Macaca fascicularis: one gene and its partner. The protein of the gene in region 1 purifies or fractionates together with the protein of each later gene. This does not show direct contact. Links are inferred from orthologs where the notes say so. Each region holds a gene or a part of one and is shown in the gene's direction. Other genes may lie near its edges.

The links.
Region 2: the proteins of USP9X (region 1) and AMOTL2 purify together in Homo sapiens (affinity purification with western blotting; 3 studies listed by BioGRID). This does not show direct contact. The link is inferred for Macaca fascicularis from reciprocal best matches to the Homo sapiens genes USP9X and AMOTL2.

Annotation. Positions count from the first base shown.
Region 1 is NC_088395.1:41,066,904-41,070,653, forward strand, and holds the start of USP9X (ubiquitin carboxyl-terminal hydrolase 9X), read left to right. Parts: upstream 1-1,583; 5' UTR 1,584-1,864; intron 1,865-2,131; exon of another isoform or gene 2,132-2,892; intron 2,893-3,750.
Region 2 is NC_088376.1:37,266,981-37,270,630, reverse strand, and holds part of AMOTL2 (angiomotin-like protein 2), read left to right. Parts: intron 1-533; coding exon 534-847; intron 848-1,437; coding exon 1,438-1,658; intron 1,659-2,222; coding exon 2,223-2,402; intron 2,403-3,175; coding exon 3,176-3,234; 3' UTR 3,235-3,650. UniProt on the Homo sapiens protein: Regulates the translocation of phosphorylated SRC to peripheral cell-matrix adhesion sites. Required for proper architecture of actin filaments.

The DNA of each region.
Region 1 (3,750 bases):
TGCATTTCTTTTGTTAAATAGATTTTTAACTTTATTGATTTTGATGCTATTGTAATGGAATTTTAACTTAATTTTCAGATTGTTTATTGCTAGTGTGTAAAACTATAACTGATGTTTAAATATTGATCTTATATCCTGCAGTTTCCAGAACTTGCTTATTGGCTTTATTAGGTTTTTTTTATAGTGGATTTCCCAAGATTTTCTATATATAAAATCATGTCATGTGAAAGTAGCGATAGTTTAATTGTTCCTTTCTTATCTGGATGTCTTTCATTTCTTTTTCAGGCTAGAACTGCAAGTACAATATTGAACAGAATTGGTGAGAGGGGACAATCCTTGTTAAAGGTGCACTTTTGATAGGGTTAAAAGACCAGTGTTCAACACTTTCCAATCCTGACCTTGGGCAAATCATTTACCCTTTCTGTTTCCTTATCTAAAATCGAAGATAACAGCCTACAGTGTACACGGGTGGTCGTGTCTACTTTTTAGAAGCCCATGAGCTAGTGGGTAAGCAAATGATTCATGGAAATAATTACAAAAACAAGGTAACATATGCTAAGAGTTATTAGGGCTATGAATGATGTATCTTGGATACCCTATTAGGTAATTTTGTGGTGAAAAATTTGTAAACAATCTAGTGCTAAATAGAGAAATGGTTTAAAAATTTAAGATACCAATAACTTGCTTTCACTGTCACCTAAATTAGTTTGGTTCCATTTTTAACAGTCTTTTATTACAAACTGATATAATCATAGCATAACTAAATTCAACCCTGTTCTCTATAAAATCTCGTTTTGTAAGGTTTTACTATGATTTTGCATGCCATTTGATGTCCACAGGTAGTTTTAAGTCAAAAGGAAATCTGTAAATTAGGAACTGTTAATTTCCTCTTCATTTGGGCATCCTAGGCAGACTGTATAGAATTGTTCCAAGCACCCCATTAATTTGAGATTAGCCTAAGTTTTTCCTACGCCTGCACTTTGGAATATAAACATGTAGAAAATAGTCCATGACACAGCGGATGGGTTCATAAGTTTCTTCCGGGTTCTAACACCGAATCGTGCTGATGATCTGGCAATGGAGGCTAATCTTGCCATATCAAGTACGGCCTATTCGCTAAGCCGTCTGGGGTACTTTATAATTTTTTTCTTTCCTGGTCTGTTTGAAGGGCTCCTATAGCCAACAAGGTTGTCAGTCCCGTCAGTTACGCTGTGAGGACGCCTAAACGCTTTCAAGTACTGATGCTGCGCGATCGTGTGAAAGTGTTTCCCAGAGCACCTCCCTCGCGGGGTGGGGAAAAGGACCTCACTCCCCACGCCCCCTCCTTCCGCTGCAGGAGATAGCCACACCTTCCCCCTATCGGCGCCAAGCAGGTGGCCAGGCCCTCGGGACCTCGCGCCCCCGCAGCCCAGTGGCCCGGCCAGCTCGTGCGTCACGTGACGCGGGTCAGCTGCGCCGCCGGGACCTCCAGGCACCGCGGCGGCGACAGCCCAGCGCGTGGTCTCGGGATCTCATCTTTCCGCGCCCCTCCCCCCACGATCCCGGAAAAGGGGGAGGCCGGTGACGTCATCATCCGGGTTCTTGTCGGTGGGGCCACGGTTCACAATGGAACAAAAACAAGCGGCCAGAGTCAAACTATGAGCGACGCGGCTGCGGCTCACGCGATTAACCCCGTCGTGACCGCACACCCCGCCAGTCCCTGCCGCCCAGCCCCTCCGGCGTGGTGTGCCAGATCTTTTCGGGCCTCCCTTCCCCAACTTCGGTCCTAGAGCCACCTCTGCCCTCGTCCCGCTCCTGAGCCGAGGGGCATGGAACAGGATTTCTGGCGGTAGCACGACCCTGAAGGGGCCAGCCGGAAGAAACGGTACTGCGCGAACAATCTTTACCGCATTGTCTTCCCCTCCCCCACCCTAGCTCTCCGGGTTCCCAGCGGCTCGCGCCCAAGCCCGGCCCCCTCGGCGGCTCGCGCTGCTCTCCCAGCCTTGACGGTCCGGGGTGGAGGCGGGAGAAGAGGGGGCAGCTGAGCGGGAGGGGGCTGGGCAGGAGCAGGGGGAGGCCCGAAAGGAGGGGCCTGAGAGGGGCGGGGTCTGACGGGGGCGGAGAACTTCGGGTCTTGGGCGGCTCTGGGGCTAGTGGGAGTCTGCGCCGCCGCCGCCACCGCTGCTGCCGCCGCCGTCGCCGCTACCGCCGCCGCCACTGGCCGAGCGGTTTTTTTTTTTTTTTTGGTTTGCCGGATCCGCCATATTGACGAGGACGGGCATCCGCGGCTGCGGACGCTAGTCTCCGCCGCCGCCGGAGCCGCAACCTCTCCGCACCCGGCCCCGTCAGGGCCTCTGCCGCGCCGAGCCCCTCCCCGCCTTGCATAGCTCCCGGGCCTCGCGGGAGCCCTCCGCCGCCGCCTCTCTCTCGCGGGAGGCGGCCGCCTTAGCGCCCGGTGCTTGGGTCGGCGCCGGGAGCTAGGAGAGAGCTGCTGCAAAGCCACCAGGCCCGGAACGGGGACAGAGGCGGCGACTAGGGGAAGGTGAAGCCGTCGCTGCAGGAGGAGGAGCAGGAGGAGGTGACGCAGGAGAAACGCACCGCCCGGAGCCCGTCTGAGCTCAGCGAGAGCCCCAGCCTGAGGGGAGAAGGGGGAAGAGGGCCGTAGCCGGCCAAGGAGGAGGAGGAGGCGGGCGCGGCGAGAAGCGAGTTCCGGCGCCGGGCGTGCAGCCTTTTGGTTGAGACGCCCTCAGCCCCGAGCCCGGCCGCCGCAGCCTTTCAATACACTTTGTTGCCGGTCACCCACGGGCCTGGGATGCACCCAGGGTAGGTCTTGTCCCGAGACCGAGCCCCAGCGTCGCCTGCTGCCTCCCGCCTCCACGTGCCCTGGTTCTGAGAAGACGTCTGTGTCGTGCGGTGAGTGGCCAGCTGCACCGGGGCGACGCGCCTTCCCGGGGCCAACAGCTGGATGTGGGTGAGGGGAGGAGGGCGAGGGGGGTGTGCGTGTGTGTGAGCTTCTTCCCTCGGCGGCTGCCGGCCGGGCCGGGGCTTCCCCGTTCCCCCTCCTCCGGCCCGGGCTGGGCGGGCGCGCGGGGCCGTGTTGTGTGTGGAGCCGGTGTCCCGAGAGCGTGTCTTGTGTGTTTTGGACTGTAAGGGAAAATGGCTGACGGCTCCGTCCCTCCCCCTCCTCCCCCTTCCCGTCCTGTCTGGGGCCGAGTAGGAGGATGGAGTCTCCGGGCGTGGCGGGCAGCCCCCCCGCCGTCCGCACCCGGGGCCCGGGTCGGTTTGGGGGCTGGCCGCCCCCGGCCCGGCGGCCGCTTTCCTGCCCGGTCTGGTTCCACTTGACACCAAACGCCATTACTGAGGTGGAGTGATTTGGAGTCGGGGAGCTAGGCCTCGGCTACGCCTGGCTATCAGGCCTGACGACTTGTCCGCCTCCCCCCACCCTCCCGCGATAACCCGCAGTTTCTCCCCGGCCCTGGGCTCCTGGAGTCGGAGCTGGGTTATCGGCCTCCTACACTTCCTTAACCCCGCTTAATTTGCAGAGGGCCAAAGCCGTGAAAGGGGTTTTTGAGTGCAGAAATCGCTTCCAAGCTAGCTTGGACCTATTATCTTTCTATTTTTAACTGTTTCTGCAAATATTAGCATGTGCGAGTTTATTAGTGATCAGATCTTCAGATTCTTGTGACGTGAGGCTTAGGGTTGGATAAATGGCTGATTTTTCATTCATTGTGAAATAAGTTAAAGAGTTATAGAGCAGGTGTATAGATGGCT
Region 2 (3,650 bases), on another chromosome or scaffold:
AGCCTTGGCCTCCCAAAGTGCTGAGATTACAGGCATGAGCCACTGCGCCCAGCCACCAGCCAGCTTTTATATGCCTCCCTGAGATTGGGAGGAAACATGGTTGCCCTAATCCATAGTGCTTAACCTCACTTTGGACTTCTGTGTAAACAACTCTTGGTGTTTACAAACCAAATAGCTATTTCTCCACTCCCAAACCTACCCTTGTGACAGAGTTAGCATGGCTGAACCCCCGGTTTGCCCAGTTCTGTTCTAATTTACACCAATTTTCCCAGTATAATTATTGATAGCACCCCCTTTGCCAGTTCGGAGGATTATTTGTTTGGTCTCTATGCCCTTGGCCATAGGATTCAGGGCAGGGGTATGGGGACCTGTGCTGTACCCCCATTTCGGTAGAGGAAGGATGGGGAAATGTATGCTGTGTATGGCCGAACACGCACATGTAAGAGTGACAGTCCTTGTGTGGAGGCGAAGACCAGTGGCTGCCGCACCCCAACCTCCACCCTTGACCACGGTCTCCACTCCTTGCTCTGCAGAGACAGGCAGGCACCCCAGGTGGTGGCAGTGGCAGTGGCAGTGGCGGGTCCCCAGAGCTCAGCGCCCTTCGGCTGTCAGAACAACTGCGCGAGAAGGAGGAGCAGATCCTGGCGCTGGAGGCCGACATGACCAAGTGGGAACAGAAGTATTTGGAGGAACGTGCCATGAGGCAGTTTGCCATGGATGCGGCTGCCACGGCTGCTGCCCAGCGTGACACCACTCTCATCCGACACTCCCCGCAGCCCTCGCCCAGCAGCAGCTTCAATGAGGGTCTGCTCACTGGTGGCCACAGGCACCAGGAGATGGAAAGCAGGTTCGGCATTGCAGGCCAGGCACCTGAGGTTTGGGAGGCGGGTGGCAATGTCCAGTCACTGCCCTGCCCTTGATCCCTGATAAACAAGCCGCTTTCCCCACACAGCTCAGCAGTCCCTCAAGCAAGCTGAACCTGCATGCTTGGCACACCAGGCGCTGTAAACTTGCATTTGCCTAGAAATACCGAGTCCTTGGTCTACCCAGGAGACTCTTACTGTGGAGGTGTTGGGTGCCGTTTAGGGCTTAGGCCCTGCCTCCTCTCTCCGGAGTGCTGCCCTCCAGGATGAGGGCTGTGCCTCCACTATCATCTGATGACTCTGGAACCCACCCTTGATGGCCTGCCTTTCCTGGTGTGGGAAGGGCCCAGGGCCTTATGCACTGGTGGTTTTCAGAGCCTGGGCTCTAAGGGCATCACATGCCAGAGCTGTGGTACCATTTCTAAGCCCCCTCTAGGTCCCTGCTACAAGCACAGAAAGATCCAGCCTGGCCGGGTTAGGGGAGGGGGGGTGCTTTTCCTCTAACTCCTATGAGGCGGGAAGGGTGGCTGGATCTATGGGTCTGACAGTGTGGGCATGGCCTCTCACCCCTCAGGTTAAAGGTGCTCCATGCCCAGATCCTGGAGAAGGATGCAGTGATCAAGGTCCTTCAGCAGCGCTCCAGGAGAGACCCTGGCAAGGCCACCCAGGGCTCCCTACGGCCTGCCAAGTCGGTGCCATCTGTCTTCGTGGCTGCGGCAGCAGGAACCCAGGGCTGGCAAGGGCTCTCTTCTAGTGAGCGACAAGCAGCGGACGCCCCTGCTCGGCTGACTACAGGTAAGAGGAGGCTGCTGCTGGGATAGATTGAGAGGTAGTTTCTCCTGGGCCTGAACACAGATTGCCAGACCTTTCCTCCCAGAACTGAGGCTCATGGGAGCCAGGGCTTCCTGATTGTCTCCCAGGGGAGCTGGCTTATTCTCTACCTCCAGTGACTCTACAGCCCATGGCTCTCCTGCCAGTGTGAAGAGGGGTATTTCGTCCCCATCGCCGTAAATTCCATCATGCTTTAGCCCCAGCCACTGAACTGAGAAAAATAGAGCTTCCTGTGCAGATGCACCTTCTATGCAAGCCCCCTCCACTCTTCCTTCTAAGCAGATGCCACAGAAACTCTAGAAGATTTAATCTACAAAGAAGGGTCCCACCACCCAAAACATTTGGAAGCCAATCCAATCTGGTAGTCATTCCCATTTTAAAATAGGAGCATTTTTAGTCTTAAAGTTCTTGCAGATCAAGAGCAGCCCACTCCACCTTGAATCCCCAGCAAGGACAGTTAACTTACAGTGTCCTTCACCAGGGCCACATCTTACAGGTGTGGCAATAACCATCCACCTACCTTCCCAGCAGACAGGGCACCCACAGAGGAGCCAGTGGTCACACCTCCCCCTGCTGCCCATGCCAAACACGGGAGCAGAGATGGGAGCACCCAGACTGACGGCCCCCCAGACAGCACCTCCACCTGCCTGCCACCGGAGCCTGACAGCCTTCTGGGGTGCAGCAGTAGCCAGAGAGCAGCCTCTCTGGGTAAGTCCTTCTGACCCCACTTCTGTGCTAGGCAGGGCCAGGGGAGCACTGGGGTGTGAACTGGAACACCAAAGCCTTTTCTTCCCAGCCCCCTCGGGGTCATTGCCTGTACTCCATGGGGAGCCCTGCATAGCCAGAGGTGAGCAGCGTGCCTGGCCCACCTCACTGTGAACATGAAGGGTGGCTGGCTGCATGAATAGGGAAATTGGAAACCCTGATTAGAGGCAGATCCAGAATTCAGAAAGAAAGCAACCAGATGGGAGGCACTTAAGCTCCTCTTTCATGGTCTTCCCTACATAGTTAATTTCCAATTTGATTATCCAAGAGAATGGAGCTTGCAAGTCATGCCGATGGCACTCTGGAAGCCTGTTGAGAGTCCGGGAAAGAGAAATCTGAGAAGATGCCATTTCTTTTTCCACTCCCCTTTCACACTGGCCTTTGCATATTTGCCTGTGCCTCCTGATCTCAGAAAACCACAGGCATGAAAAGAATGCTGCAGCCTCCCTCCCTCAGGCTCTCCATTGCTCTGTCTAAGCCCTCCAACCAGTTCAAAGTTAGAAACAAATGCATCTTACACATCGGAGGTTGGTGGGCTGGGCTGAGCACTGAGAGGGTGCAGAGCATTGTGCTTGGTTGGCCAAGTTCTGGGAACCTGGGCAGCAGAGGTGGGAAAAGTTGGTGAAGAAAGATCGTTGTATTTAAAATGTGCCAGGATTTTAAAAGCAATCTAGTAACACTCATTGGCATGTGCCTGTGTTCTTGTCTCTCTCCAGACTCTGTAGCTACATCCAGAGTCCAGGACTTGTCAGACATGGTGGAGATACTGATCTGAAGGAGGTGGTGCTTCAGGACTCTGAGCCATTCTCTCCCCTCCTCTGCCCTGTGCCACTCTCAGCCATTTCAGCAGCCTGTCAGCCGCTGCTTTGTCCCTTTCCCCAGCCAGACTCTCATTCCCATTGACCATCTGGCCCCAGGAGCTCAGGAGGAGGACCCCAGGGGAGAGGAGAACTGTGAGAGCACCAGCACCCCCAGAAGACTCTGCTTCTTAGCCCACATTCCTCCCGGCCTTATGGAGAATGAGGATTCAGCCTTGACTTGTTGCCCAAGGCCTGCTACTGGGGTAGCAACTGACAGCTCAGAAAGGTAGCTGAGCTCCCTCTGCCCTGCCAGTTGTCAGTCAGGCAGGGAGGGAGGGGCTGTGTTGGTTTGGGGGACTAATTTCCCAGGACGGCTGCCCGTGGACACCAG